2 linked regions of the Mytilus edulis genome follow. The protein of the gene in region 2 purifies or fractionates together with the protein of the main gene of each other region. This does not show direct contact. Links are inferred from orthologs where the notes say so. Each region holds a gene or a part of one and is shown on either strand. Other genes may lie near its edges. The genes, in order: rabenosyn-5-like and ras-related protein Rab-5B-like.

Region 1 (16,528 bases), on a different chromosome or scaffold from region 2:
AGTTCAAAATATTTATGAAGTATCAGACTGATTTTTTTTACATTTAATGAAAATCAACAATAACATAGTTTTCAGGGATTATTAACAAACATCTGACATTCAATGGAAAAACAAAAAACCAAACTCTAAGGAAGTTCATAAGATGTATGTATCCTTGTCCCTGTGCCAGTGGGAGAATTACTTACCTTTCCTTTTCCCCGTGTCAGTAGGTGGATGACTTACCTTTCCTTTTCCCCGTGTCAGTAGGTGGATGACTTACCTTTCCTTTTCCCCGTGTCAGTAGGTGAATGACTTACCTTTCCTTTTCCCCGTGTCAGTAGGTGGATGACTTACCTTTCCTTTTCCCCGTGTCAGTAGGTGGATGACTTACCTTTCCTTTTCCCCGTGTCAGTAGGTGGATGACTTACCTTTCCTTTTCCCCGTGTCAGTAGGTGGATGACTTACCTTTCCTTTTCCCTATGTCAGTAGGTGGATGACTTACCTTTCCTTTTCCCTATGTCAGTAGGTGGATGACTTACCTTTCCTTTTCCCCGTGTCAGTAGGTGGATGACTTACCTTTCCTTTTCCCCGTGTCAGTAGGTGGATGACTTACCTTTCCTTTTCCCCGTGTCAGTAGGTGGATGACTTACCTTTCCTTTTCCCAGTGTCAGTAGGTGAATTTCTCACCTTTCCTTTTCCCCGTGTCAGTAGGTGAATTACTCACCTTTCCTTTTCCCCGTGTCAGTAGGTGGATGACTTACCTTTCCTTTTCCCTGTGTCAGTAGGTGAATTACTTCCTGTTAATTTATCCAGTCGAATAATTAGTTTGTTTGTCTCAACAACAAATCTGTCTACTCTAGCTCCCCTTGTAGCTTTGAATACATCAGTATGACTTCTAATCATACCTACAAAATATTAATATTCACTTAGTATACTCTGTGTGAAAGCTCAAATCAATTCATTCATATTTTAATGTAATAACAAGGTTTTAATAGTTCTGGCTTAGAATTTCATTTTGAGCTTTATTGTAATGCTGGTATACATGTACAAAATAAAAACTTAGGTTCTTCCATCTTTTTAATAGATATAGATGAAAACATTTTGCAGCTTTCAAAGTGTACTATACATGCTATAGTCAGGTTTAGTTACTGGTAGTAAAGTTAATGTCCCAAATCCCAATTTTACAATGGTTGTCCTTAATTCATGTCTGTCATATTTATTTTTAATAAATGGTTTTGTTATAAACTAGGGGTTTAGTTTTCTCAATTGAATTGCTTCATATTTTTCCATGTATGGGCCTTTTTTTTTAAGGCTAGAGCCATCTATATGCCTTTATGGGTTTTTCTTATTGTTGAAGGCTGTATGGTTGCTTATAACTGCTTCCATTCTAAATTTTATTACATCCACTTTATTTGAGCTTTGCTGGATAGTTGTCTCACTGGAAATCAAACCACATCTCCTTATTTTTATATAAAATATGTCTGAAACAAAAGCCACTATTCTTCAATTTTCCAAACCTATTTCCTGAGGATCCCATAGTGAAGAATCATAGCCAGTTTTAGTCAAGTTAGCAGAATAGGTGTCAGTAACAGAATCAGATTGATCTACATAATCATGGTTCTCTTTCTCTCCTAATATCTTCTTCTTAGCTTTACCAAATAATCCTAAAACAAACAAACCTCAATTTTCAAGCACAAAAAGTAGGAACTTGGGTTATTGATGCAAAAATACACATTACTGAAAGGAAAGTAATTAAAGCATACATCACACTCAACTGTTAAAGATCAAACACACCAATACTTCATCCTAAATGGTTTTTTAGTTATCTCATATTTTGTCACAAAACAACAATTTCCTAAAACTAAAAGCTTGTTCACAACCTAGCATTCTTAGTGTATCAATTGTTTTATTGAAAATCATATGAGAATATGCGGGATTTACATGACCTGGGGGCAAAGTCAAAGGGACTCAGTAAGAAGTTTCAAATTTTGTTTATCAATGTTTTTCAAATCTTTTTTTCTTATCACCCGTCTATTTGCATAATATTATTAAGAGATACTATTCATAGTCCAAATATTGTTCATCTGACAGCCAAGTCAGAATTCATGATACACAAACATTATTGTTGTTTGGTTTTTGTCACATTGATGCCACCTCGATCTAGCTCCCGTCTCATATATTATAAAGCTCTTGTCATATAAATGTAGTAATAATAAGTTACACCTCATCATTTATCTAAGTACCTCTCAACTGCTGCAGCACGTCTTTGTCTTCATTTGAATGTTCTTCCTCAAAATGATCTTGTAACATGGATACTGTTCCTAGATCCTTCATACACATTGGGCATAAGAAGCCCTCTCTTACCTCACTCGAAGTTGCCATGCTTGAACTATGGGGGAAAGTGGCTCAAGTTTCAACTTTAAAAATGCTGTAAAATATCAAGGGTAGAAGGGTTTCAATTCAAGATTCAAGGATTTTGTTACCACAAATCACTGAAAACATTTACCCAATTCTTTCATACATGTAGCTTTGATAGCTACAAAGATTAAGTTTGTAAATTTGGCTGAACATGTACCTGTAGAAAACTAACAAAATATTTACAAAGAGGATAGCACCACCAAATTTTTGCAGTGATGTAGTTAACCAAGCCCATAAATTTAGATACGATTTAGGTAAATTTATCGATCTATTAAATAAATTTATTCTATAAGGTTATCAATTGAACACTTTAATTAGATCTTGTTTTTACCAGTACAAATATTGATTTTTTTGGTTTATAAATTAGTTTATGTACATTCATAGTCCTACAATCTATCAATACCTTCATTTTGGCATACCAGTATTACAAGGTTTATTTGCCTGGAGAAAACCACAACCTGAGATAGGAAAACTGACAATCCTAGTCAATTAAGATTGGAGTGCTTGGAGAAAACCACCAACCTTCGATAGGAAAACTGACAATCCTAGTCAATTAAGATTGGAGCTGAGTGCAACTGCACGAGCGGGGTTCGAAACTCACAACTGGCTAGTGATTTCAGTAGAAGTACTTAGACCACTAGGCCACCAAGGCCCCAACATAACAAGGAGAAGGTCGATGAAGGAACAAACCCTGTAAGGCTATGATTTATAACCATACACATGATACACATGTATATGTTTTAGTATAACTTAATTATTTTAACTTGACAAGTTTAGGAACAGGAATTGGTAGACATTTCATCAATCATCATATATGTACACAACCAACTAATGAGTAGTAATGATTGAAGAATAATCAGAACAATTTGAAAACTCTTTTCATTATTTTTTTAGAGATAAATGTGCATTGTGAGCCTAGGCTCAGTGTTGTACCTTGACCTATAATTGCTTACTTTTATAAATTGTGACTTGGACAGAGAGTTGTCTCATTGGCACTCATACCACATCTTCCTATATATATCTATACGTTTTCATTGTTCTGTCAATACTTATATAAATATAGATATGCACATGGCAGTACTAACATGACTAACATGACAAAGTACCTTATTCTTGAATTCAAATTTTTTAAAACAAGAATGTGTCCCCAGTACACGGATGCCCCAAATAATAGAAAGATCATATCATAGGGAACATGTGTACTAAGTTTCAAGATGAATGGACTTTAACTTCATCAAAAACTACCTTGACCAAAAACTTTAACATGAAGAGGGACAGAGGAACAAACAGACGGATGGACACACAGACCAGAAAACATAATGCCCCACTACTATCCTAGGTGGGGCATCAAAATTGATGGACATTCAGTTTTACTGTCTCACTTCTTGTTTAATTTTTAAAATCTTTAATTAGTTCAAATTTTGAAAGACTACGTATACACTTATGTATATTTCATTGAGATACATGGAAACAAAATACTGAACTTGATGACATCAGCAGTAACTGGAATCAAAAGTGATCTAGTGTAACTACATTCGTACAATAAAATTTAGAATGGAAACGGGGAGACAACAACTGGACCAAAGATTAGAAAAGAGCCAAAGGCCATCAATGGGTCTTCAAAACAGTTAAAAAAATCCAGCACCCGGAGGCGTGTTTCAGCTGGCCCCTAAACAAAAATGTGTACTATTTCAGTGATAATAAAGTCATACTTAACTCCAAAACATATAAAATGATAAATGAACTAAAATTAAATATCCTACAAGACTTACCTAGGTCAGAGGCTCCTGACTTTGGACAAAAATGAGGTGGGGTTAAACATGGTACAAATTTACATATTAATCAGACATTGTCATGAAATTAAAATATAAAAGAATGCTGGTGTGGTAGACTGTATTTCATAGGTTTTAATAGTAATTGTGTATATTTCTATTTTAGTCTATAGTTTTTTATTTTGTATATTATATGTTTTGTATATATGACTTATATTGATAATTAACAGTATGGACATATTAATTACAGATTGTAATTAATTGATTATTTATTTTCTTTATTAGATATATAGGAAGATGTGGTATAACTGCCAATGAGACAACTCTCCATCCAAGTCACAATTAAAATTTATAAAAGTAAAACATTATAGGTGAAGGTACAGTCTTCAACACAGAGACTAGACTCATACCGAACAACAAGCTATAATGGGCCCTAAAATTGACTAGTGTAAAACCATTCAAACAGGAAAACCAACTTACTAATCTATATAAAAAACGTGAAATGAGAAACACTTATGAACCACATAAACAGACAACAACCACTGAACATCAGATTCCTGACTTAGAACAGGTGCAAACAATTGCAGTGGGATTAAACGTTTTAATGGTACCAAACTTTCTCCCTTTTCTAAAACAGCAGTATACCATCACAACATAGAAAGACACAGTATAAAATATCAATTGGAATGACTTAACTCAATCCAAAAACGAAGTGACACAAATAAACGCACAATGAACGAATAAATTCAGCATTCTTAAGTTCATTTTATTAACTTATATTAGACATTTGGAATTTGACAGATGATGATTTTTACTGGTAACCGTAACTTCGGTTTCCCTATATTTTTCTTCAAAGGATTTCTTTTCATGGTTCATTGGATCACACGCTACTTTATTTCTATTGATCATTATGTTTTGTACTTTATTTCTTTTGTTCTTTATTCTGGTAATCACTTTTGATATTGATATAATGGTGAACAAAGTCACATGTGTGTGATATTCTATTAAGTTTCATATAAATTCTTTTTTAGGTTTCTATATTCTATATATACATTTACATAATGTAGTAATCCTGGAAAGATGTGATTAAATCCATGAAGATGATTCAGGAGGTCCGAGTACACAGTTATTTCGTAGTGCATTTCTTTTAGACAATAAATGAAAATTAAAAAAATCCCACCTGCGCTTTCTCAATAATATTTTTACAGTGTGTTGTACTACTTTTGGGACAAATTATATCAAAATTATAGAAAACTTCATCAGCTCTAACTCAAAATATGGACAATTTTATGTTAAGGGGGTCTTGAAATCTTTTGACAGCTTCCGAAGTGCTAATTTTTGACCTTTTTCAGCTAGACCTAATCACTACTTTACATTAATATTTATGATCCAATTTTTTTTACAGTGTCATTTCAACCCCCAACTTGCAATATGAGGCATAAAACATGGAGAAATAAATTTGGAAGGGGTATAACAAAAATTGGCAAGTAACACACTGTCCACACTAAGGACTATATTCGTGGACAACGAAAATCAAAGGACGATAACTGTGTACTCGGACCTAATAGGATAGAAAAAGTTGACCAATCTTAATAAAACTTGGTATGACTAAAGCTTAATATATTATAAGACTGCTTACAAAGTTTCATAGCAATAGGATATATATTATAGACAATATGATTAATTTTATATTCAACTTTGCGTGTTAAATTTAGACGTTAAAATTGAGAAATTTCAACTATCAACATTTGGGGCTTTTAAAATTTAAATATTGCAAAAAAATACTTTTAAAATGCCTTAATATATAATATATCATGTATTTAAAGCAATAGAGTACTCATTTGATATATCAGACTTAGCATAATTATTCAAAAGTCAAATTTATATGAGCCTGTGCCTAAAAATGGAGGTTTTCCAATGAAGGGGGGCCTTACATAAAGATGTAATATTTTCCAGCAATTTTAAATTTGTGAAGCTTTTTGATTATAAATAATCCTTACATATGTATTTAATGTACTTTAAATGGAAAGAAAACTTACAAATAACATATCATATTAGTTTAAAAGGGTCTTAGGCCAAGTAAGACTAAAAATAATTTAGGGTCAATTTAGGCCGTAGCACATATTTACATTTAAAAATGCATATTGAAGCTATAGGAAATAAAAATTTGTGTCTTTTCTATCATTTCTATACTCAGGTGACATGATACAATAAATCTGAGCACAAAAAGGCTCTTACATTCAACTTTTTTACCAGACAGTATGGTCTGATACAATGATTTTTCACTTTTTAGTGAAAAACTTGCATGCAATTTTAGTCTCAACAGGCTTATATTTGAACCACATGCTATCCTACAGAAGTAAAGAAAGATATTATGTGAAATGAAACAGGTACAAAAGACATTGTTAAGTGCTTTTTATACAAATTTAGTGAGGGCTTTATTATGGACTTCAACTTTTATGTGCCATGCTCCTCACATTTAACTTGATCCAAACAGGGCGTTAGACGAGGGTCATTTATACAACACATTTTGCTCATATTGTCTGAGATAATCTTATTCTCTGTAGATTCAGAGTTCACAAATGAGTACTAAAACTGGATTAAAGCATAGAAACACAAAAATTGACACATGAAAACATGTCAGATAGAAAGTCAAAATGCCACTTATGCATCAACATTGAAAAAGCTATGAAATGCTTATTTTGACCATATAATGCCAAAATTGGTCATTTTTGCAGAAATTCTATCAAATAAAAGTTTAAATCCTTTAGTTTTATGCTATTTGACAAATTGACACCATCAAATCATTCAGGGAAGTTGCCAAAGTACAGATTCTATATTTCCTGATTTCACCTCTTAGGTCCGAGTACACAGTTATTTCGTAGTGCATTTCTTTTAGACAATAAATGAAAATTAAAAAAATCCCACCTGCGCTTTCTCAATAATATTTTTACAGTGTGTTGTACTACTTTTGGGACAAATTATATCAAAATTATAGAAAACTTCATCAGCTCTAACTCAAAATATGGACAATTTTATGTTAAGGGGGTCTTGAAATCTTTTGACAGCTTCCGAAGTGCTAATTTTTGACCTTTTTCAGCTAGACCTAATCACTACTTTACATTAATATTTATGATCCAATTTTTTTTACAGTGTCATTTCAACCCCCAACTTGCAATATGAGGCATAAAACATGGAGAAATAAATTTGGAAGGGGTATAACAAAAATTGGCAAGTAACACACTGTCCACACTAAGGACTATATTCGTGGACAACGAAAATCAAAGGACGATAACTGTGTACTCGGACCAGGAGGCCTTTGCACAAGTTGCACCTCATGGGAAGGTATAAGCGTATTTACACTTTTGGTATTTAGCTGAATCTTGCCTCCAAATGACCTTAGATCTACTCCGAATCACCTTTTGACGTCAAGCAACAATCACTTTTAAAATGTGACGTCAAATAATTTAAATTATGATGTCAAAGTTTACGGGAACCTGTGTGATTTTACGTAATGGTGGACAAACTTGCATACAAGTGTAAATACGTCTTTTTATTAAGCTCTTGTTTATTATCTTGATTTTTGCAACCACAGAAGAAGCATTGTGTTTTATTAGCCTTTAAATTATTATTATTGTCTGTATTTGGATACGCCTCTATTGTGCTCTTTCCAAAAAATAAATATTGAATATTGAATTGGATAAAAACATTTTTTATCTGTTCATATACTGTAGCTGCCATGAATACGGCATGCATCAACTTTAAATATCATTAATATGGGCTAGATTGATTTGTGACAGATCAACATCATCACTGGCCTAGTCCAAATGATTATGATGTCTTGAAAGGCGATTTTATTTTTTTTGCTTCCACAGTATATATATATAGCTGCCCCAGAAGAGGGGGGTAGGAGGGGTCCTGATCCCGAAATCCCGGGCTTAAAAACATGAAATCCCGAGGTCCCGAATTTAAATAAAGTTAAATCCTGGATCCCGTAATTTAAAAAAAAAAGTATTCCCGAATCCCGAAGGGGTAAATCCCGAAATCCCGAGCTTAAAAACACCCGATCCCGTGGTCCCGATAAAGGTCCTATCCCCCCTCCCAGAAGGCGTCAAAGTGAAAAAATTAACATGATTAAAAAGCCTTTCAAGACGTCATAATTATTTGGACTAGACTGTGGCCCAAACAAATTGTATCTGATCAACTTGGGGATGGAACACCATGAAACCTTTAGGATTCAGTATCTGTTGGAAAAAATCAAGGATCAATCACAAAACAGAAGAAGACATATATACTATACTCTATTATCTATACAAATCCTTTGAAATTGGTTACTGGTTTTGACTCAGCAGAATTACAAATTTGTATCGATTGTATAACTATAATACCCATTACTTAGTTTTTTCTATATTGAAGCATTTCTTCTTCAGTTGCAGAAAACAATCAACATTTCTGCAGTTTTGACATCTGCCCATCAATGACAGTCCAGAGGAGATCCGAATGAGATCCATAGAACGATGGGATCATAAATAAAAAAAATACTGGTAGAACTTATGTTCTGTTTATTAGCAAAAGTAGTTTTATGACATTCCACGCAAAAGGCAACATTTAACAAAAATTAATAACACTACAGGAGAACAAATCGACAATTGGACCGTTCGGAACAATAATAAATTCTCCCTCACTTCCTTTTCCGGTTTCACTTTCTGACTGCCTGTAGTGTAAATACTTTATGTTTATAATAATCTGTGTCCATCTATCTTTTAAATTGAAGTGTTTTATGAATTTACTACTTTTTAAGGCAAAACCAATATAGGTCTTTCAAACCTTTCGTAGTTAAGAAAATATTTATATGTATCAAAGGTGATATTTATCAGTTATATTTCACCGTGTTGACTGTTTTGTTATTTTGATTTTTCTTGTAGAAGAGTCGATGAGTTTGTCAATGAAATACGTTAGATCTCGTACAGTACGTATATATTGACGTTTGTTGAAGATGTTTTTCCATTTTTTTTTTACCTCCGACAATTGTCAGGGGGTAATAGTTGATAGTTGGCCGGTCTAGGGTCTGTTCGCCCTGGGTTCGTTCAACCTACCTTTATAAAGTTAAAAGAAATATCAATATAAAGGGCATACAAATTTTAATAAACTTATTTAGATATTTATATGGTATATATTCCTTGAATTTCTGACAACACAAAAGAAAGCTTGTTCAGTGACATACATGAGGCAGGTACAATGTAGTAATGCCCTTTACAGTCGGGCGTCAAATGGTCATTTTCAGCTACCGTTGGCTTCAAATTGTTTAAAATTTTACCTTGATCCTTAATTTTATCGTGATTTGTCAGAGGTCTCGTATTATTATTATCCTTTATAATAATGTAATTTTTGAGATAAATTTAACGTGATTCGTCAAAATCAATCAATTTTTTTATTGTTTAAAAATTTCCGTTAACATTATTTGGCAACAATTTTCACTGTTTTTTCGTCATGAAGGTAGATGAACCTTAAATTCAAATGCATTGTATGATTTAGAAAATTAAAAACCTAACTGGATTTTGCAGTGCACTTTTTTTCGTCCCTGCAGAAGATGATAAAATTAACTAATAGTTGAGTTTCGTTTGATATGGTCCACCCAGGTTCACAGTTTAATCCTCAATTATTGTCAGGTATCTATTGTCTACAAAAATGTATCTATTGTCCATGTCAATTAATACAGCTCACTTCAATTATTACCCGTGGGGATGTTCTCAAACCTCTTTTCTATCTTAGCTTATTTTAGCACTTTCTGAAGGAATGAAAAAAAGTGTACGGCAAATTCTGTTAAATTTTTATTTTTTTAAAACATAAAACATATTAGAAATATATTTACCTAGGGCATGATATGCTTAAAATATGTCCACATGAACCTTAACATATTCTGTTCAAATAATAAACATTATGCAACTGAACAACAATGAGAAAAAAATTAAAATCAGGGCGAACAGGTACGTAGCCGGTCATGTCAGGGATAAATCATACAAGTTTCCTCATTTTTGTTGAGCCTGTGATTAACAGCAAAAGTAGGCGAGACACAGGGTTACAAATTTTTGTGCATATTGGTGCAAAATAATTCCAGAATATCCCCAAAATATGATAAAATAAGATACCTAGATTAGAGTTGGGGTCATATTCAAAATGATTTCCAAGATACGTTTTGTACAGTACATCAATTGGGCGAGTATAAAATACCAAACTCTGTAAAATTTTGCAGAACTGAATATAGGATAATATTAATCAAATGTTCCGGATATTTGGGTCAATTAAATTTTACCAAATTTGATATTTTGCATATACATTTTTTTTTTGTACACGCCACAGCCAGAAGTGATGTATCTTGGGAAACCATTTTGAAATCATGGGTAATTGGTATACCAAGGTTATATTTATCAGGCAGGGTTTCCGCTGGCGGTCGCCATTTTCGCAATTTGCGAAAAAATAATAATTGTGGCGATAAAAATTCGTTATTTGCGAAAGAATTTGGCGAAAGAAATATATAAACTGATTTATTTTCCTCCATCTTGTTTATTTACTTTTTTTTTTCCAGTTTCTCGGACTTTACCCGATCAGACAATACTCGGAATTCACCTTGACCTCATTAAGATTTAGACAGAAAATCAATAATCAGCTGATTGCATTTTATAGCTATCGACAACAAAGGACTAATTAATAAAGGTGTTGATTGAATTGTTTCACAAAATGATATGGTCAAATGGCTTCCGCTATAAATGTCACATACAGAATATATTTACATCTTTGCGACGCACGTGTTTGAAGCAAACTTTTGACATCTCTCCCTTTAAAGATAGTTTTGAAAAGAAAGCTGTTGTTGTGACGAAAATTGTTCAAAAGCAAGAAAAATCTCTGATTCAAAACTCTAATTCTTTTATCCTTTGACTTTAATAAAGTCGTTTGAGTGACACATGCACGTGTTTCAAGCATAGTTGTACATCTCAACTTTTTCATTTACGATGGTCAAGAAAAGAAAACTGTCGTTATGAAAAAATCTATCCAAAATGCTGGGAACAACCCCTCGAATGAGAGTAACCCTTCAATGTAATGACTACACAAGAAATGAGGGATCAATTTCATGGGATAAAAGCTTTTGTTTTGTTGTAAAAATTACTTCTTACTACAAAAGGGCACATCAGGAAAAATATATTAATGTTACTTGGCGAAAAAAATAAAGTGGCGAAAAATATATTGTTTTGGCGAAAGAGGTGGCGAAAAAAATAATTGACCCAGGGGAAACCCTGATCAGGGCTTTCCAAAGTAGCCGGTAGACGTCTGTACAGTGGCTTCAAGTGCCGACTACTTCACTGAAAAAAATATAAATTCAAAAAGAAAAAAATATCTTTTTCAAATGTTTAAAGGCAGCCGATTGTCACATAGTCATGGTCACGATAAACAAGGATGAAAAGTCGTGTTTACCTTGGGCTAAATTTAGTTCACATGAATTCAAATACAACAAATGGAAGTTTTTAACGACGAGAAAAATAAGGGGGGTCATTTGTTTATAAATTCGCGTAATTAAGCAAAATAAATCGATCAAGATTTCTAACAAATTGGATTATTATATATATAAAACTCCTTTAAAACCAAATAGATTTTAAGCATAAGATAAAGAAAATAAAAAACAAACCGTTACATAAAAAAAAAAGATATTTCTTTCAGATTTTTTTTCCTTTAATTTCATAGATAAAAAATGGTCATTTAAGGTTCATCATAAGGAATTGAAAAATATGGCCGTGTTTACACCTCCAAAATTACTATGAATACAGACAAACTGGTACATCCAGGAAAGTTTTAAGGCATGGCAGGAACTAGATATATAAAAGTTATATGAAGTCTACGTTTCAGAAAATAAAAAACTTACCTGGATTTTGATGTTCATTTTTTTCCAGTCTGCAGAAGATAGCAAAATAAACAAACACCCGAGTTTCATTTGATACGGTCCACTCAGTTACACAGTTTAAACCTGTTAAATCACCTATTGTTTACAGGTGTCTATTGTCCATCTATTGTCCATTTAAATCAATACTACTCACAACATTGAATATATGAGGGGAGCTTCTCAATCGTTTTCACTACTTAGTTAATTTTTGCACCTTCTGCAGGAACGAAAAAAAATGGATAGTAAAATCTAGAAAAGTTTATAATTTTCTGAAACATAAAATGCATTTAAAATTTATATATCTAGTTCCTGCCATCCCTTAAAACTGTTGCAGGTGTACAGGTTAGTCTGTACTCAGAGTAAAATTTGGGGTGTAAATACGGCCATTTTAGCCAAAAGGTTATGATGAACCTTAAAAGATGAAATTAGGTGCCAGGAGATAGCGAGAATGCAGGTTACAGCCACCTATAATTGTAATTTAGCCTACTACTTCAATTATAAGGGAAAGCCCTGATTTATGTAATTTTAACAACATAAGAATTGACAGAAAAGGTGCCTCTTTCCATCTGGCTGGATTATCTGATCAAAGCACCAACAATGTTTTGATTGTGCATTTTCTCCCTCAATTTAAACATTAGTATATTTTATCAATAACATTGTTTTGTGTTTTACAGGCTGAAATACTAAAGCAAAAAGAACAGAATGGCAAAGTCCAAGAATCATACGGCTCATAATCAGAGTAGGTAGTCAGATATTTGAAAAGCTTTCCACATAATTCATATTCATCTTCTTAATTAAAAGGCCCTTCATCATTGCTAATTGGAAAACAATTCAAACCAAAACCCCATATTCTTTTTTTTTTCTAAAACTTGAAAGGCAAAGTTGACCTTTGGCATAAATTAATTATGCTATGCTACTGAAAGGTTAAGTTCCTGCTCCATCAATGACCCCATAAGTTATTATATAACACAAAATACTTGTTTTACTTCTGTTAAAATAAGATGGCTTGTAAAAAAAAAAGACTTACTGGAAACTTTTATCCTATGTTTTCCTTTTGTTTAATTTCAGATCGAAAACAGCACAGAAATGGCCTTCACAAACCAAAAAGATACAGATATCCTTCACTTAAAGGAGTAAGTTATGATTATATATGTATCTCACACAGAACAAAGTTCTGTACTAGGGTATAATGTTTTTACCCATCTGTAAAAATTCTGTATGAAACTTTGCTGATGATATAAAGGACATACTATGTATATTTCGCGTATTGACATGACATTATGATTCAACCTTTATTCTAGAATGCTAGAAGTTATGCCTATTTGAACATTGAATTTTGGCCTAAATATACTTCTTCAGCAGTTTGTCATTGCGACTTCTTTGAAACCACAATACAGATTTTAAAATTTTAAATTGTTTGTAGATTTACTATGTAGGGCAAAGTATGTAGATATACATATCAACATGAAACTAGGATTCAATCTAAACCACACAACATAATTTTATGAAACTTAGTAGTTATATTGAGGACATAATATGCTAAGCTGCACATCCATAAGAATTTTTTTATCAGTTGACTTTTATAGAAGTTTTAAGTCTTTAAACTTAGGAATCTGGTGAGATTGTGTTTTGTCCAGTAATAATGTTGGGATGTAGGATATGTGAGCACGCTTATTAAGGATTGTTAATTAAAGAACTAAATTGGCCATTTACCCATGTCTGGTTAAATATACCTTTTTTTATCAGACTCTTTACATGGCCATATATTAATGGATCAGTAACCAAGATCGTTTGTTATTATAACAAATGTATTGTGACACTTATCTAACAACCAATCTGGCAAATAAAGTTAAACAAAAAAGTTGTCAAATAATCTGTACATTAGAAATGCTTTGTTCTTAAATATAACAAAAAAGTAATGTCGACCCAAATTGCAGTTTGAAATCATCTCTTCATTTGAAAAGATTTAGCCCAACAGGTAGTGAATGATTGTCATTATAAAGTAAGTCTTACAAAAAAAGTCTATTTACCTCGCTAGGTGGACCCTAAACATGGAGTCTATATCAAGAACACTAGTAAACACTAATTAACAGCCTGCACCAAAATCTATGCCAACTACTAGTCTGAAGACCAAAATTCCAACAATTATCTTGTGTGTCTAAACAAATATTTGGAATAGAATAATTTACATGAATGGGGCATTGTACTTGTGGCTAATAGTGCAGACTGAATTTTCAAAACTTTATGATAATACCAATTCTGGACTTCTTTTATTCTTATAAATTAATTATTTGTTTTAAATTAAAATAACAAAAATCAGATTATAAGTTATGAAAAATTGATATAAAACTAAAAGGGAGATAATTTTCATTACATACTCAACTATATTTATAATCCATTAAAATTAATGCTTTTAACCAATTTGATGAAACATTTTACTCATATTATTTATAAATTTCAGTTTTCTGATTAGAAATCATAGAAGTTTAATAACTTTTTCACCAATATTTAGAACTTGTGACATTTAAACTGTTTTAATAATGGAAGTTCCTGTATCTAATAAGTTGAACTAATTTAAGATAGAGAGTTCAATACTACACGATACTAACTGCGAAATCAGTCCGTATTGGAATGCAAGAATTATTGTTTTACTCTGTAAATTCCAAATACAGGAACTAAAACCTTATACTATCAAGGAGCTAGACTATTTTACCAGTTGATGAGTTTGAAGTGATTTATTAGGAACTAAAACCTTATACTATCAAGGAGCTAGACTATTTTACCAGTTGATGAGTTTGAAGTGATTTATTAGGAACTAAAACCTTATACTATCAAGGAGCTAGACTATTTTACCAGTTGATGAGTTTGAAGTGATTTATTAGGAACTAAAACCTTATACTATCAAGGAGCTAGACTATTTTACCAGTTGATGAGTTTGAAGTGATTTATTCATACTGCAACGTTAACTGTATAGCAAGTGAAATGCAGTGATTTATTTGTTGCCGTCTACTTCAAGATTTTAGCTCTCCTCTTTTATTTGAATTATAAATGTTAAATTCAAAATGTTTTTTTACCTTTTGATCTCTAACAGATAGTAACTGCATGTTCAGTGCAAAATTGTAAACAATTAAAAGCAATCCATTGATATGCATAATCTGTACCAGATAAAATAAAATGGCCATTTACCCATGTCTGGTTAAATATACCTTTTTAGATCAGACTCTTTGCATGGCCAAATATTAATGGATCAGTAACCAAGATCGTTTGTTGTTTAACAAATGTATTGTGACACTTATCTAACAACCAATCTGGCAATTAAAGTACAACGAAAAAGTTAGTAAATACTGTACACAATAGAAATGCTTTGTTCTTGCACAAAACCAAAATAGTATTAATTAGTACTGTCAATATTAAATTTATGGAAAATGGCCTCGTTAGCCCTTTTAAAGGTACAATTCTTGCAAGATTTTTATAAACTTAAACTAAAGGCTAATATCAGCAATATCTCGGATAATTTCTAAAATGGGGGGCGATCCACTTAAAGACCAAACAGCCGATTCATTTCTACCAGTGATTTTCCCTTGCAATTTTGTGTGAAGGTATTTCATGATTTGAGGAACAAAATATGATGAAAAAAATTGGGGGTCATCGACTTAGTTTTGTCACTATAGCAACCTCAGTTTCGTGTTTTCCCGAATATTAACATAATATTTACTTGTTATCTAAACTCTCAAAAAATCCTTTATATCAAGCATACAAGCATAATTCTTATTTCACGTTAAAACGTAGATTTGTATCTATCAAATACAGGTTCAAGAGTTTGACTTGTATTGTTTTGATCTTTAAAAACATTATTTATTTCATTCCCGCCAAAAATAAAACGTAAAAATGAAAAACGTTTACAGTATTAAAAAAAAATCTACCAGTGATTTCTTCATAAAAATTTCAAGAAGGAAAGTGCCATGTGTACTCTTCAAAATAAAGCAAAAAAAAGTGTATGTCACTGACCTTTCAAAAAAGTTAGGAGCAATTTTCATGTTTTTTTTCTCGTTCGTTTTGAAGAAAAGAGTTGTCTTTCTTCGAAACATTGCATCTGACGTCATAGTACAAACTTTCCTTGCTGGCGCACTATTTGAAAAAAATCGCAAATTGGACGTTTGAAACCCGCACGAATAACAACTATATTCACCTACTTTACTATACGGTAATACAATAGATTAAATGCATGTATCAGGATGTTGTTGCTGCACAACATATTAACCTTCAGAAACACCATCCGTCTGATTGGAAAATTGTTTGAAATAACCTTTTACGCCGCTTTTGTTAGGAAAGTCTGTTTTTGTCCTCTGTCCATCATTAGCAAAATTATTGAAAATAAAAAAAGAAATGAAAGATGGCACTGGCTAACTTACTGAGTATTTGACTA
Region 2 (16,518 bases):
TTTCACCTCTGGCCAAGGTCAGGGATTTGTATTGTTTACTATTTTGACATGTTTGAACTTTTTATTATGCAGCTTGCTATGCAGTGCCAGTATGATATTTTCTTTTTCATGTTGAAAGGCATACCATTATGATAATGAGACCTATAGTTGCTCACATTTACATGTATGACTTTTGGTCTTTAGTAGAGTATTGCCTTTAAACATGTTAAAATAGCAATCCTACCACATCTCTTTATTTTATACACGGTTAAATCTACTTGTTGCTAAATAATTTACACAAATCAGTAAGCACTTCAAAGGAAGAGAAGGAATAACAATGACGTGTGGACTTACAAAAAAGGTTTGGCTGATTATGGATGATATTGATTGCCATGCAAAGCGATCATCACCTATTGTGAATGATGAGAATAACAGCCTGCGTAGATCATCATGATCATGTGAATCCCAACTTTATAATGATATAGTCACTATTGCATATTAAATTTTGAAAATTTAAGGGGAACGCGGAGAAAGGCATGAAACATTGACAACATCAGTAAAACATTGTAAATAATTCGCCGTTTCAGAATCTAATGCATTCTGGGTAATATTTTCAAAAGTGTACACCAAAGCGTGGTGATTGGTTTAAAACGTCCCAAACAATTAAAATGCAGCCAATGACGTGACGTTATTTTCATTTTGGGGTACGAACAATGAAATTACCCATAGTGCTTTAGATTCTGAAACGGCCTATTAAAGTTTACTCATGCCCATCATGTCTTTCATGTGTGACAGGATTGCATCTCTTAACAAATGTGGTAGATACTTAGTCAGCAGTTACTTAATGCACTGCCTTGTAACACAAAGGTATGTTTGAGACAAAGATGATTTTGTATGTAGAATCATGCTCTCCCATAGTCCAAGATTACTTTGGCTGTTTTGCAAGACAAGCTGGGGCCATGGGACGTCAGAGCTCCTCCCATATCAAAAAGTGGATATTTGCCCACCCAAAATAGATGTGCTGCTTCGTCACTTCTGGTCAGGGTTGGCAAAGTATTACCCGCCCAGGAATTCCTGGGTGGGAAAACCGGGGTTTTCCCGGGCTGGGCAATACTCCCAGAAATGGGGAATACTGGGCATTACTGGGCAATATGATTTTTTAAGCTTATTTTAACATAAAATAGTAAAGTCTTGGTGTAATTTTATAGTATAACAGCTAAATATATACTTTTTATACTGATAACCATTGACAGTCATTTCTAAAAGAATGAAAAATTCAATTTCATTCCCTTCTATGTAGACAGAATACAAGATTTGCACATTTAAGGAAACCTTGTTAATTACCAAGCATTGTTTCAATAATCCATACTTTGAAAAAAAAATTATTGCAATGTTTAAGTGAATTGTTAATTTCAAATGTTTTACATTCATACCTTTGTGATATTGCTAAATAAACACCCTAAGGGGTCATGCTATTAATACTTATAGAATTGAAAGGGCTGATTATTGTTACATAAACAAATCTGCATTCTAATCTGAATAATTACTTACTAATTAGTGACAGTACATATACATTATTTAAATGTACTTTTTCTTACATGTAATTGTTAATTCTTAATAGGAGTTATATTTATTTAAAAAAAAGTTTTTTGCTTTATGATTTACAGTTTTTACCAATACAGACAAACAAAAAAGGTTATATATATATCTTAAATGTATAAAATTTGTGTTTGATCACTGAATCCTCTATAAAATTCAGACCAGTATTTTATATTACCCGATATTGCCCAGTATTACCCACAAAAACCCAGTAAAACCCGGGTTTTCCCAGTATTTCCCACTGGGCTGGGCAATACTCATAAAACCCGGGTTTTTGCCAACCCTGCTTCTGGTGCCGACTGGCGGCCTTGGAATAATAAATATCGGGCATTAATCTGTTCATTTTTCATTTATCTCTTCATTTATGTAAGTTTCACCTACATGTACCTGCCAACCTTTATTTTCCCTTATTTTAACAGTTTTCACAGAGACCCATCGATTTCTGCATTTTGACTTTCATTTTCAAAGATTATCATGTGACCTTTTCAAAGATTATCATGTGACCTTTTCAAAGATTATCATGTGACCACGAGAAAACAAGTGATGATTTATGCAAATGACCATATTCTAACACCTCGTTCATTTACAATGCAAGTAATCTTAATGTCCGAGAGCTTCCAATTGTTAACATGGTTGGCACTAAATGCTTAATACCAGTCTCCTGTAAAGGAGGTGAAAATCGTGGTTGGTTACTATATGTTAAATATCGATCTCCCATAAAGGTTTTAAGTAAATTTATGAAAATCTAGAATAATACTGATGTATAAGTTTATGGTATCAATATCAGTTTATAATGTAATGACATACATAGAATTGTCTTATGACTTGTTGTTACATGCATCTTTATTTCATTTATATGTTGTTTTAATATATTATAATTTATGTATTTGGATCAAGCCTCTATTGTGCTCTTTCCAATAAAATATTGAATTGAATTGAATAAAGGAGGTGATAAAAGAATTATTATTTTGCATATTTGAGTCTCGAGGTCGCAAAATCCCACATAACTTGAATGAAGTCCATTTGAAAATAAAAGAAAAATGTCTGAATCAAATGTCTCGAATTTGACTTACACAGTCATCTCAGTACCAGAATCTATGACAAACGAGACGATTTTAATTTTGAAATCATAAATTTCCCCCACCTTAGTAGCAATATACCAACTTCACCTGCATATGGGATATATATTTCCCAACTTATTCGATATTCAAGAGCTTGCAGCTCCTACTCAGACTTTGTAATATGTCATCAGTGTCTGAGTAGAAAGTTGATGAAACAGGGGTATGTCAAAGAACGTCTCGTTCTTTTTCTAAAAAAGTTCATCGGAAGGTACCAAGACCTTGTTGATACATGTAAATATTCCGTATCAACTTCTCAAATAATACACGATGGTCTTGATGTATAGATTCTTCGTACTGATGTTGTTTATCATCTTAACAACGTGTTTTATAGTTCTTTCATTTGTCTTTGTTCTATTATTAATATTACTTTTACTGTTGAATGGTTTCATGTGATATCCGTTTCACGTGGCTCGGTACTTATACATCTCGTCAATGTGTTTGTATTGGCTTTCATTTTTTTGTGGTTTGTTTTGTATTTGCGACTTTTTGTATTTCTTCGTTCTTATAACGTGACTCTGTACTTTAAAAGATCCTGTCAGTATGATATTGTTCTATTATATGTCATTATGATATATTTCTATTATGAATTACAATATACGTTGAACCACAAACGTCAAAATCATTCAATCGCGTAGTGGAATTAACTATTTTTGGATTCTTATAAATTCTATATATAACTTTTGGACTAGTTTAAATCTCGGTCTATTTCTTAAATTTATTCTTACATACTTTTGATTTTTTAACCCTGTATGCTAACATTCCCATGAAAATTTTTAAAATTGTTTGTACGCACATTGAACGACAAATTTATGTGACGTATAAAATTTTCTGACGTCAGACACTCAAATCAATAACTGTGTTCGTAGATAGATGTTTTTGTGTTCTGTTAAATTGTTCCTTTTAAAATTGTTAAACGATGATGACTGATGTACCCATATTTTGACTATTATATTCATTGTGTCTGTTTATTTAACGCATCAATGTAAAAATATCGGAAATTGATGAGACTGTCATTAAAGTGAGAGGGTTAGCGCTATAGAACCAGGTTTAATCCACCATTTTCTACATTTGAAAATGCCTGTACCAAGTCAGGAATATGACAGTTTTTGTCCATTCGTTTTTGATGCGTTTTGTTATTTGATTTTGCCATGTGATTATGGACTTTCCCAATTGATCTTCCTCGAAGTTCAGTATTTTTGTGATTTTACTTTTCACCAGTCAGAGCTCAGACATAAACAAGTCTATTTCTGTTTTTGACTTAAAGAAGTCAAAACATGTATTCTTTATAAAAATGTGTTTTCAATTTTAGACTTATCTAAGTCACAAAATGACAGACTTGTTTAGGTCTATTTATGTTGATGAAAAAACTTAACTTGACTTGGTGGCCAAACTACACCACCTTTGACAGTAAAAACCTGTCTGAGAGTTCACAAGGACTTGATCTATTTATATTTAATTATCTAATTGAACATCCTTACTAAACACAGATGTTTTACCTCATTAAGTGTGGATCCAGGTGGTTGCATTGTAAGGTTAATTAACATGATCCCTGATTTTTCAGACTCTCATTCATATTTTTCTTTAGAAGACAAGGCATTGGCTTTCAATGTTGTCATTATTTGATTTAGATGCATGACCTTTTTATAAGTATGCGTGGGTCTTGAAGTTGACCAATTTTGGTAACTTATCGACTTGTAGGAGTTGATATTTGCAACTTTTTGATTCTGGTCAATCATTTCTTGCTTAACAATATTTGACTTATTTAAGTCGTATTTTGTCTTGCATTAAAGGGAGACAAATCTTAAAACTTACAAATTTAGACATCTATAAGTCAAAAGCAGATTCAGACTTATTTATGTCTGAGCTCTGACTGTTCACTGTGAAATCTGTCTAAATATGAGAAAATATAGATTGGCAGGTAGGTGAAACTTACATAAACGAAGAGATAAATGAACAAGAGCTGTCAAAATGACAGTAAACCGGTTTCTTTAACATTTATTTGTGTTCTGGCATTTATCAATATTACAAGGACCAAAACTCCTAATGGGAAATTTTAAAAGGTTTGGTTGAACGGTTCATGAGTAAATGCATGGACACAACATTTTTTAAACTTTCAATAACTGTAACTCCTGAATGGTAAAAGTCAAAATCGTCATTATTGAACTTGACCTCCATTTTGTTGTCAGTAACAACATATTAAAATTTTAAAAGGTTTGGTTGACTGGTTCATGAGTAAATGCACGGACACAACATTTTTTAAACTTTCAAGAACCGTAACGTAACTCCTGAACAGTAAAAGTAAAAATTGTCATTATTGAACTTGACCTCCTTTATGTTGTCAGTAACAACACATTAAAATTTTAAAAGGTTTGGTTGAACGGTTCATGAGTAAATGCACGGACACAACATTTTTTAAACTTTCAAGAACCGTAACTCCTGAACGGTAAAATTCAAAATCGTCATTATTAAACTTGACCTCCATTTTGTTGTCAGTAACAACATATTAAAATTTTAAAAGGTTTGGTTGAACGCTTCATGAGTATATGCAAGGAAAACATTTGGTTGCCGCTCGCCCGCCCGCCGTACATCCCCAAATCAATAACCGACATTTTTGACACAAAAATCCGGTTAAAAATGAACAGATTAGGCCACACCAATTTGATTCCTTGTTCGACGGACCCGCCCGCACCTATTATTTTCAAAACAGATTTTTTTTATTTTTTTTATATTCCCGCTTCCCGCATCCGGATATGTAAACATGTCTATTTCCCGCACCGTTTTTTTGAAAATATTATAAAAAGATATCAACATTGGTTTCTTTCCCCTTACTTATATTCCCTATCCAAAATGTTCCGTTGTTAGAATAAAGTACAAAGAACTTCTGAAGGATTTGCCTTCAACTGCAATTATATTGTATGCTGGCAAAACAAAACTATCTATAGCCGCTGCATGTTTATGTACCTGTCCTGATTGATTCAGGGGCCTGTCGTTCAGCAGTTATTATCGTTTGTTGATGTTGTTCATTGATATTTTCCCGTTGAATATATAAATTAGATTGTTGGTTTTCCTGTTCGAATTGTGTACGCTAATAATTTTGGGATCCTTTATAGCTTGCTGTTTGGTCTGTATCAAAGCCCTGTGTAAAAGGCCGTACTTTGACCTGTGTTTGTTATTGTCAGGTTGAGAACAACCCTCCCTCAGACAAGGGGTCATTTTACTGATGTAGAAAAGAAAATAGAAATACCAAGGATTTGTATAGTTCTTCTATACAAAAACTTTGAAAATTTGGAATTTTGTACTCAAAAAGGGGAGAGTTACATCATATTTTAAACAACTTTTTCTAAAAGAGGGGTTTACTTATTTTGAATAATATTAAACTGTTTAAGTAAATGTGTTAATTTAACATGGTTAAAGTCCAGGAATATTACAAAATTCTTGGCCATGTTTTGACCATTTAATACTAGCTATAGATAGATATATAGTTCTTTGAGAAAATATGAGCCCTTTTGTACAAACAAATATATTATAACTTATATGATCCATCATAAAACATGTAAAAGGGATATTTATAAAATTAAGAGGTTGCCCCCAAACTGATTATGACTTGGATGGAGAATTGTATCATTGTCAGTCACACATACATAGACCAGATTTAATTATTTCTTGGTGAACAGGGAAAAAATACTTCAGAAATTAAAAAATGTCAAAGTACAAGTTATAAATCAAGTTTTAATATTATCAAAACCTACTATTTTATGTTTACAAAAAAAAAATATAATCGCTCGCCTTAACTTTTCAAGCTTCGCCTCAAAAAATTTCAAATTAAATATTTGTTTATTAAAATTTTCAAATCGCTCGCTCGCCCCAAATTTTGGAGTCCAAAAATCTGTAGAACAAGAAATTAATTTGGTGTGGCCTTAATGCCCGATTTATATAATTCCAAGGCAGCCAGTTGGCACCAGAAGCGACGGAGCAGCGCCTCTATTTTGGGGTGGGCAAATATCCACTTTTTGATATGGGACGAGCTCTGATGTCCCACAGCCCCAGCTTGTCTGGCAAATCAGCCGTTGGACGTCAGAGTAATCTGGGACTAGCTCTTCGGTTACTGTACTCATGGCATCAGACAACATTCCAGCAAAACATGTGGAGCGGAAATATTGTGACGCTATGATAGATAATCACCAACTATTTTTTATCTTTAAATTATAGTTCTTTAAAATTGGACAGATCACTGCAAAGATATTTTTTGTCATTAGACATATAACAGTTGTGATACAACATAAAAACTGCTTGTTGATGGTGCCAGCAAGAAGTGTTAAACGCATTCAATGGCAAGTCTATGTATAATTTATCGTTTCACGCGATCTCGGTTGTTTGTTTGATATATTTTGGAGGCTAAAACACATGATCAAAAAATGTAAACACGGAAGACGGGTTATTTTTGGCATTGACATTTATCGATTTAGCTTATAAAAATGTCATGATTTGTGGGCTTCGTGGACTAATTTTGGACCATCTTTGACATTTTCTTACCAAAAATAAAATAAATCAGCTATAAGGGCTTTGACTGTCAATGTACAGATGGCGAAAATGTCTAATTAATTCACGTAATGCCCCCTTTCTACGTAGATACACCCTCCTTTGAGATGTAGCCAAATCACTGCTTACCGGAAAATGGTCCGAATAAACTGAAATCGTTTTCAAATTAATAAAAAACAAGGTAAAATTGTTGGAGTCGATTTTTATTTTGGATTTCTAGACTTTAATCGTTTATTTTATATACGAGTTTTGTTTATAACCATTGTGAAATCACTGTAATCAAAGTTACATTTTGCGTAGTGATATCATCATATGACGGACACCATGATTTATCAAATTTAGACCCCGCATTTATGACATCATACAGGAAATCGTGTTTTCTTCTGCTATTTGTTTCCATTACGAGGTTTACCGAGTGTTTTAAATTTAGAACATTTGTGTCAAGGATGCCATCGTTGGCCGTTCCACGGAGGGATCATGATAATTATAGACCAATAGCAGTTTTGCCTTGTCTCTCAAAAATCATAGAACGACATATAGCTAATAGTTTGTATATATATTTTTAAATAGTAATGACCTTCTTAATACTACACAGTCAGGTTTCATACCTAAACATTCGTGTACTACTGCACTTACTAAATTAGTAGATGAATGGTTGGCAAATATAGATAATGGAGAGATAAACGGAGTTATATTTTTAGATTTAAAGAAATTTTTGATCTGATTTTAAATCATATAATTTTATTGAAAAAACTTGAATATTATAATGTTTCAAATTGTACACTAGACTGGTTTAAGTCATACTTGTTTGAACGAAGCCAACAAGTTAAGGTCAATAGCGTCATGTCTAATACTAAATGCATAAAAACTGGGGTACCACAAGGTTCTATCCTGGGCCCTCTGTTATTTATTTTATATATCAATGATTTACCACTTAATATAGAACATTCATTAATAGATTTATATGCAGATGATTCTACATTACATTGTAAAGGTAATAATTTACTTCAGTTAACTTCTAACCTTCAAAATGATATTCATGTAATTGAAAACTGGTGTTCGCAAAATTGTATGAAATTTTAAATGCCAAAAAGTGTAAATCAATGATTGTTGGTTCAAAACAAAGACTTTGTTCAACTGGAAACAGTTTAGATATCAATATTTCAAATGAGCAAATAGAAAATGTAGATTGTGAAAAACTTCTTGGTTTATATATTGACAAAAAACTAAATTGGAATCAGCAGATAGATAAAATGTCATGTACTATATCAAACAGAATCAATTTATTACAAAAGATAAGAAAATATTTACCTATGCATATACGTATTATCTATTTTAATGCTTATATTCTGCCATTATTTGATTATTGTTGCAATATATGGGGAAGCTGTTGTGAAAGTGGAATAAATAAACTTAATAAGTTATTAAAGAAATCTGCTAGGGTTATAGTAGAAGCTGACATAATGACATCATCCAGTTTATTGTTTAATAGTTTACGCTGGTTAAATGTGGAAAAACACATTCAATACCAAAAGGCAATACTTGTATTTAAATCATTAAATGGATATAGGAAGATGTGGTGTGAGTGCCAATGAGACAACTCTCCATACAAATAACAATTTAAAAAGTAAACCATTATAGGTTAAAGTACGGCCTTCAACACGGTGCCTTGGCTCACACCGAACAACAAGCTATAAAGGGCCCCAAAATTACTAGTGTATGGTTCCTAACTATTTACAAGAAAATTTTCATTTTACTGATAATCAAAATTATAACTTACGTTCAGCTGATGAAAAACTATTAAATCTTCCAAAACCAAAAAACAAATTTTTTAAAGAAAACATTTACATATTCAGGTTCTCAAATATGGAACAGTTTACCAAATGAAATAAAAATGAGTAATACACTTGCATCTTTTAAAACAAAATGTTACAAATTTTTCATCAATTGTGCAAATTAATATGCTTTTTCATTATTATTTAAATACAATTGTATATTGTGTATAATATAACTTTATAATACTCTATGTACTTATAAATATGTTATTATTATATTTTGAGGACTCTCAGGAAGATTAGTTTTAACTAATGGGATCATCCTCTTGAAATAAAGATTATTTATTTATTTATTTATCAGACGATCAATGGGAGCATATAGTTGGAACCCCCCTTCCACTTACTCTAGGTTGGGAACCCGGGCCCCTGTTTTTAAAATGGCTGGATCGCCCCTGTACCAGGATTGTAATTTAGTACGCCAGACGCGCATCATTCAGTGATATAGGCACTTGTCTCACAATTTTCCCCCTTTATACCTTAATTTATAGAATTTTTTTTCTGAGACGATTGCCTGTGATCAGTGACGCTCATATATTTATAATTAAAGCCGAACAAGTACAAAGTTGAGGGGGCAGGACCTTTATCGGGACTCCGGGATCGGGTGTTTTTAAGCACGATATTTAGGGATTGACCCTTTTTGGGATCCAGGAATTCTGTTTTTCGGATTTCGGGATTACGTAAGTTGAGGCCCGGGATTTCGAGATTACTTGGTTTTATGCCCGGGATTTCGGGATCAGGACCCCTCCTACCCCCCCCCCCCCCCCAATCAAAGTCAAAGAGCAGTGATATTGGTGGTCCACATGAAAATCTCAAGGCCATAGGCGGCCCCAGGGGGTTTCGTGGGAAAAATATGGTTGATTATATAGAGAATCATTGAAGGCTGACTGGAGCACCCCCCCCCCCTTTTGTGGGTCAGTCAGCGGGCCCCCTTAGGAAAAGTTCTGGATCCGCCACTGATTAGGCTGCTTTTGGAGTCACAAATAAAGAAAATTCGATTTTTAGTATTAAGCATGACACGTGCGTACGTGCAAGTCAAATTATTTTGCCGCGAAAACGGGAAATGAAGTCTAGCGGCGCGCGCGCGGAACTCGGGAAATTACAAAATACTGAGAATTGCTTACGTACATAGTGTAAGCGGGGACGGGAATCTGACAAAACAGTAATCGGGATCTGGGATCAGACCCTCCCTCCAATGAGACCCCCTTAATTTATAGGGGATGTCGCTGGAGTTCTGTTACCCTACTCTTTTCATATATATCTAATCATTCAAATTTTAAAAATGTATACCTTTTTATACGCCCGTCGTCTTTTAGACGGGACGTATTATGGTATACCGTTGTCTGTCCGTCCGTCCGTGCGTCTGTCCGTCCGTCGTCCACACTTCGGACAATAACTCAAAAACACTTTCACCAATTTCCATGAAACTCAAGTGAATTGTTTATATCTATTGACGTAAGCTCCCTTTCGTTTTTTTTTTAATGTCAGATTTTAAGTTTTGGATTTATTGGGCTTTATTCATAAAAAAGGGGGGATTTTCAACACTTCGGACAATAACTCAAAAAGGCTTTCACCAATGTCCATGAAACTTTGATGAATTGTTTATATCTATTGATGTAAGCTCCCTTTCAATTTTTATAAATTTCACATTTTAAGTTTTGGATTTATGGGGCTTTATTCATAAAAAAAAGGGTGATTTTCAACACTTCGAACAATAACTCAAAAAGGCTTTCACCAATGTCCATGAAACTTTGGTGAATTGTTTATATCTATTGATGTAAGCTCCCTTTCAATTTTTATAAATTTCAGATTTTAAGTTTTGGATTTATGGGGCTTTATTCATAAAAAAAAGGCGGATTTTCAACACTTCGGACAATAACTCAAAAAGACTTTCACCAATGTCCATGAAACTTTGGTGAATTGTTTATATCTATTGATGTAAGCTCCCTTTCAATTTTTATAAATTTCAGATTTTAAGTTTTGGATTTATGGGGCTTTATTCATAAAAAAAAAGGGAGATTTTCAACACTTCGGACAATAACTCAAAAAGGCTTTCACCAATGTCCATGAAACTTTGGTGAATTGTTTATATCTATTGATGTAAGCTCCCTTTCAATTTTTATAAATTTCAGATTTTACATTTCCGTGTTATGAATTTTTATGCTTAAAAAAGGGGGGATTTTCCAATTTTGGGACAATAACTAACACTTTCACAAAATTTTATGCAACTTTGATAAATTGTTTATATCTATTGACATAAGCTCCCTTTCCATTTTTATAAATTTTAAGTAATGAATTTTTATACTTAAAAAAGGGGGATTTTATGAAACTTTGGTGAATATATTAATGTAACATCCCTTTTGATTTGTATATATATTTCTAGTTTATCATATAAATTCATTTAAAGCATAAAAGACAAGTTAAAAGAGCAACGGGCGTATCATGCGCTAAAGCGCAGCCCTTTATTATATATTGTGTAGGTAAAAATGTAACCTCTTTGGTTTCAGCTAGTGGTGTGTAATGTATATATATACGATTGGAATATCAAAGTGTAAAAAAGAGAAAAATTGGTTGATAAAAACGTAATACATGGTAGATGTAGAAAATCTGACATGATCAGCTCTTGAATTGTTCAGAATGTTGATCTCTTCCTATAAAGAAAAACTGTTCACATTAGGGCTACTGTGACACCATTTAATTAGAAGTCCTGAAAAGACATGTTATTTTTTTTATATTATATGTCCGTATCCAAATTAAAACATACAAAGTTGTGGTAAAAACATTCAGTTTCTAGCAAGTAGTTATCACTTTATGCACATCTTAATTTCATACATATGCTGAGTGTCCCTCTTTTTGAAATAAGAACATATCTTCACCTAATAATAGTAATAAGATCAACAAACATTAAAACTTCAAACTGTTATCAGACTTATTTATCAGTGTTTATTTACTGTACATGTCACAACTGAATCAGTCTCTACCAACCTCCATTCCAGAAGTCCACATTTAAATAAAAGTTGTGAAAGGTAAAATATTATGATCTTGCAAATACATGTAATAATATATTTCAGCAATCAGGTATACATACTTTTAGTTTTTATTTTGTTTATTGTTTGAGATTGTAATGTTCGTTTAATTTTCATAATATTTTGACAAAATATGACAAAATATTTGCTTTGATCCTTTGACAAAAATGTAAAAATTTCAAAAAATTTAAACCAACCATTTATCAGAAAAATTACACTGGTTATAGCAGTTTGAATTGTTACGAAATAAAACAAAGAGGAAAATATCGCTGTCACATATATACATTACATACCATTTGGTTGAGGGAAATTTAAGCTAAAGAACGGAAACAAAAAATCCAGCAATATTTCTCATTTCTTAAGGGGCATAACTCTAGAACGGTATAAGTGACGCCAATAAAAATTCAAACTTGATTTGTGTTTTGTGGTAATAAGCATTGTGTATACAATTCATAACATTTGGTTGAGTAAAACTAAAGTAAGATATATAAATGAAAAGATAAGCAATTGTTCAATTTTTAAAGGGCATAACTCTAGAACAGTAAAAGTGATGCCACCAAAATCCAAACTTGATCTGTGTTCTGTGGTAAGAGGCTTTATGTATACGTTTCATAACATTTGGTTGAGGCAAACTTAAGCTAGAGAACGGAACGAAAAACCAGCAACTTTTTAATTTGTAAAGGGGCATAACTCTAGAACAGTAAAAGTGACACCACCAAAATTCAAAGTTTATCGGTGTTTTGTGGTTATAACCCTTGTGTATAAGATTCATAACATTTGGCATTCGGCAATCCTCGGTAGAATCCGCTACTCTCATATGAGGGTACGGAATCGGCCGAGTTGAGACGAATGAACATTTGGTTGAGGATAACTATAGTTGGAGAACGGAAACCAATTTGGGGACGTACGAACGGAAAAGGGTAAAACTTAATGCCTCCTTCGCTACGGAGTATTTTTTTTTCAATTTTAAAGGATCATACCTCTAAAATGGTAAAAGTGACGCTACTCGAATTTTAATACCACCTCTTTTACGACCCGGGGGTAGGGGGAGGCATAAAAAAGAATATCACAATAAAAATTGTTGTAACTTGCGAGAGCTCTTTATTAATTTTTCATCAATATGATTATTAAAGTTTAAAATTTTAGATGAAGGTATTTCACAAATATTATACTTTAAGTTTTATCTTGCCAGTTTTTACTTGACTAGTTTCTCAGTGTTATAACTATTGATTAAGTAGTCCGGCATTTATAAGCATTGGGTTGTGGTCAATGTCAGGTGTTTATATCTTAAACATAATCATTTGCAACACATACTTTGAATCTTGGTGGTTGGTTGCTTGATGTACAGTCCCAAATATAGAATGCTTGATGTACAGTCCCAAATATAGAATGCTTGATGTACAGTCCCAAATATAGAATGCTTGATGTACAGTCCCAAATATAGAATGCTTGATGTACAGTCCCAAATATAGAATGCTTGATGTTTGTAAATACTAATTAAAACACTTTTTTTATACTTCTATATAACGGTCGAAAAAAAAAGATATCAGTATCCAAAGATATTTCGGCTAAACTGACATATCTAAAAAAAAAAAAACATAGCATAAGGACAAGCCAAATTATGACCTTTACACATTAAAATTTCATCACCTTAACTGTACTGATGTCTTACTCTGCATAATTTTGATAACTAAATGCTCATCGTTAACAATAAAATCGTTACATCTTAGCTGACTTACTCATTACAACGTTAAAAAAACCCACCGAAACCCAGGAAAATCATCAAAAGATCCCCAACTACTAGTAAATCTGTAGAAAATTGAAACATAGAACATAACCGAATTATCAGTAGTGACTGTATCTTTCTTATTAACAACCGGTCTAGTAATTCTTTTAACTAATAAATTTAACTTTCAACAAAAGAATTATTTGAAGGGTCAATTTGACCACAAATTTCATGTGCCCACTTAATCGAATAAACAGCAGACGATACCGTACTGTAAGTAGATCCGGAATCTAACAAATTAGACAAATACAAAGCAATACATCTGTAAAGGCGAGGCAGACATTGAAATTAAGCAATAAAATTGAGAATGGAAATGGGGAATGTGTCAAAGAGACAACAACCCGACCAAATAAAAAAACAACAGCAGAGGGTCACCAACCGGTCTTCAATGTAGCGAGAAATTCCCGCACCCGGAGGCGTCCTTCAGCTGGCCCCTAAACAAATATATACTAGTCCAGTGATAATGAACGCCATACTAATTTCCAAATTGTACACAAGAAACTAAAATTAAAATAATACAAGACAATGTTTATTAACAAATTTTTCCCACTTTAAAAAACCATAGTACTATTTTTTCACAGTACTGTCTCTTGATTCCAATAAATGTTTCGATAAGCTGCCAACGGAACTGTATAAAAGACGAGTTTCATCAATTCCACTGTACCACGGCGTCACGGCGTCACAGCGTCACGTACAAACTGATTTTGCTTTATTCTTGTGCAAAAGAAATACTTCAATCAAAATCTGATTTTAAGAGCAGACAATGCGAAATTCAAAGGATATGCTCCAAAAACACCATTGTAACCTGTCCCTCTTACAATTAAAACGCATCTTACGCAACACGACGGATGCCACATGTGGATCAGGATCTGCTTACCCTTCCGGAGCACCTGAGATCACCCCTAGGTTTTGTTGGGGTTTGTGTTGTTTATTCTTTAGTTTTCTATGTTGTGTCATGTGTACTATTGTTTGTCTGTTTGTCTTTTTCATTTTTAGCCACGGAGTTGTCAGTTTATTTTCGATTTATGAGTTTGACTGTCCATGTGTCCCTCTGGTATCTTATGTCCCTCTTTTTTTACTTTCAACAAAAGTACAATTCAAATAGACTTCTTATACGTTCAGGTATTTCACATACAATTTTTATGGAAATATTCTTTATTAAGCACAAAAATGTCAGTATTCACCTCAAAAGCTAAAAAAAACCTTAAAATAGACTTATTAAAGAAGCGATATAGATACGATACTGTTGTCAGGTCATTAAAGATTGCATATTTTGGCGTTAATATTGGTTCACTTATAGGGTCTTTGCATCGGAACTAAACACATTTATTTAAAAACCAGTTATTGGCATGATATGGGTTATGTTCTTCTCATATATATGTTATGATGGAACTTTATTTGGCGTTTAACTTTTTCGGATTCGAGCGTCACTGGTGAGTCTTTTGTAGACGAAACGCGTGTCTGGCGTATAGACTAAATTTAGTCCTGGTATCTATGATGAGTTTATGATACTAAACCCCTAACGGGAAGGATTGTGCCTGATATTCATATGATGAAGAAATAGTCTTTCAATCAGTTTAATAGAAGTCTGGAGCTGGTATGTCAGTTATCTGCTAGTAGTCTGTTGTTATTTATGTATTATTGTCATTTTGTTTATTTTCTTTAGTTATATCTTCAGACTTCTCTTGAACTGAATTTTAATGTGCGTATTGTTATGCGTTTACTTTTCTGCATTGGCTAGAGGTATAAGGGGAATGTTGAGATCTCACAATCATGTTTAACCCCGCCGCATTTTTGCGCCTGTCCCAAGTCAGGAGCCTCTGGCCTTTGTACTATTTTTAATTTTAGTTTCTTGTGTACTATTCGGAGTTTAGTATGGCGTTCATTATCACTGAACTAGTATATTTGTTTAGAGGCCAGCTGAAGGACGCCTCCGGGTGCGGGAATATTTCGCTACATTAAAGACCTATTGCTGATCTTCTGCTGTTGTCTGTTCTATGGTCGGTTTGTTGTCTCTTTGACACATTCCCCATTTCCATTCTCAATTTTAATAATGCCCAGAATGGAGCTGATTTCCAAAATGGAACATTAAGAGAACTCTGACATCTATCGTCACATACTTTTCTAATGACATTGTATACACAATTTGGTGGTGGTGCTAACCAGTTGGTTTCAGTACCTTTGTACCAATATTTTAAATTAAACCTAAAACATTTACTATTATTATCAGTAGCAAATCTATCTAAAAAAATGTTTTCCCCAAAGCTCATCAAGCATGTCAAACACTTCAACATTCATTCCCCAATCATCACAATCTGAATATCTACTTAAATTATCAGGTGTTTTGTTTTGTTCCCGAGGACCCATTGTGTGCTTAATACTTATATTGTACTAGTATTCTGTGCTCAATTCATTTAAATCACAAGTAATACGATGAAGCTTAAACTTTCTACTACCGATTTTTATTATGCTTGTAACGTTTTTATTATCAGTATTCAGTTGTACTGTGCGATTTTTCAGGATCGTAAAAGAACTTTTGACATCTCTACTTACTGCTTCAAGCTCTCACCATGTAGAGCTTTTAACACTTTCAGATACCGACCAGTTTCTAGTCACAGTTATCAAACTGGTATTTG

What was found.
Region 1: the proteins of ras-related protein Rab-5B-like (region 2) and rabenosyn-5-like purify together in Drosophila melanogaster (affinity purification with western blotting; 3 studies listed by BioGRID, with this or other methods). This does not show direct contact. The link is inferred for Mytilus edulis from reciprocal best matches to the Drosophila melanogaster genes Rab5 and Rbsn-5.

Annotation. Positions count from the first base shown.
Region 1 is NC_092344.1:107,914-124,441, reverse strand, and holds the start of rabenosyn-5-like, read right to left. Parts: upstream 8,674-16,528; 5' UTR 8,565-8,673; intron 2,408-8,564; 5' UTR 2,362-2,407; coding exon 2,223-2,361; intron 1,644-2,222; coding exon 1,497-1,643; intron 885-1,496; coding exon 741-884; intron 1-740.
Region 2 is NC_092357.1:59,729,698-59,746,215, reverse strand, and holds the start of ras-related protein Rab-5B-like, read right to left. Parts: upstream 7,384-16,518; 5' UTR 7,233-7,383; intron 1-7,232.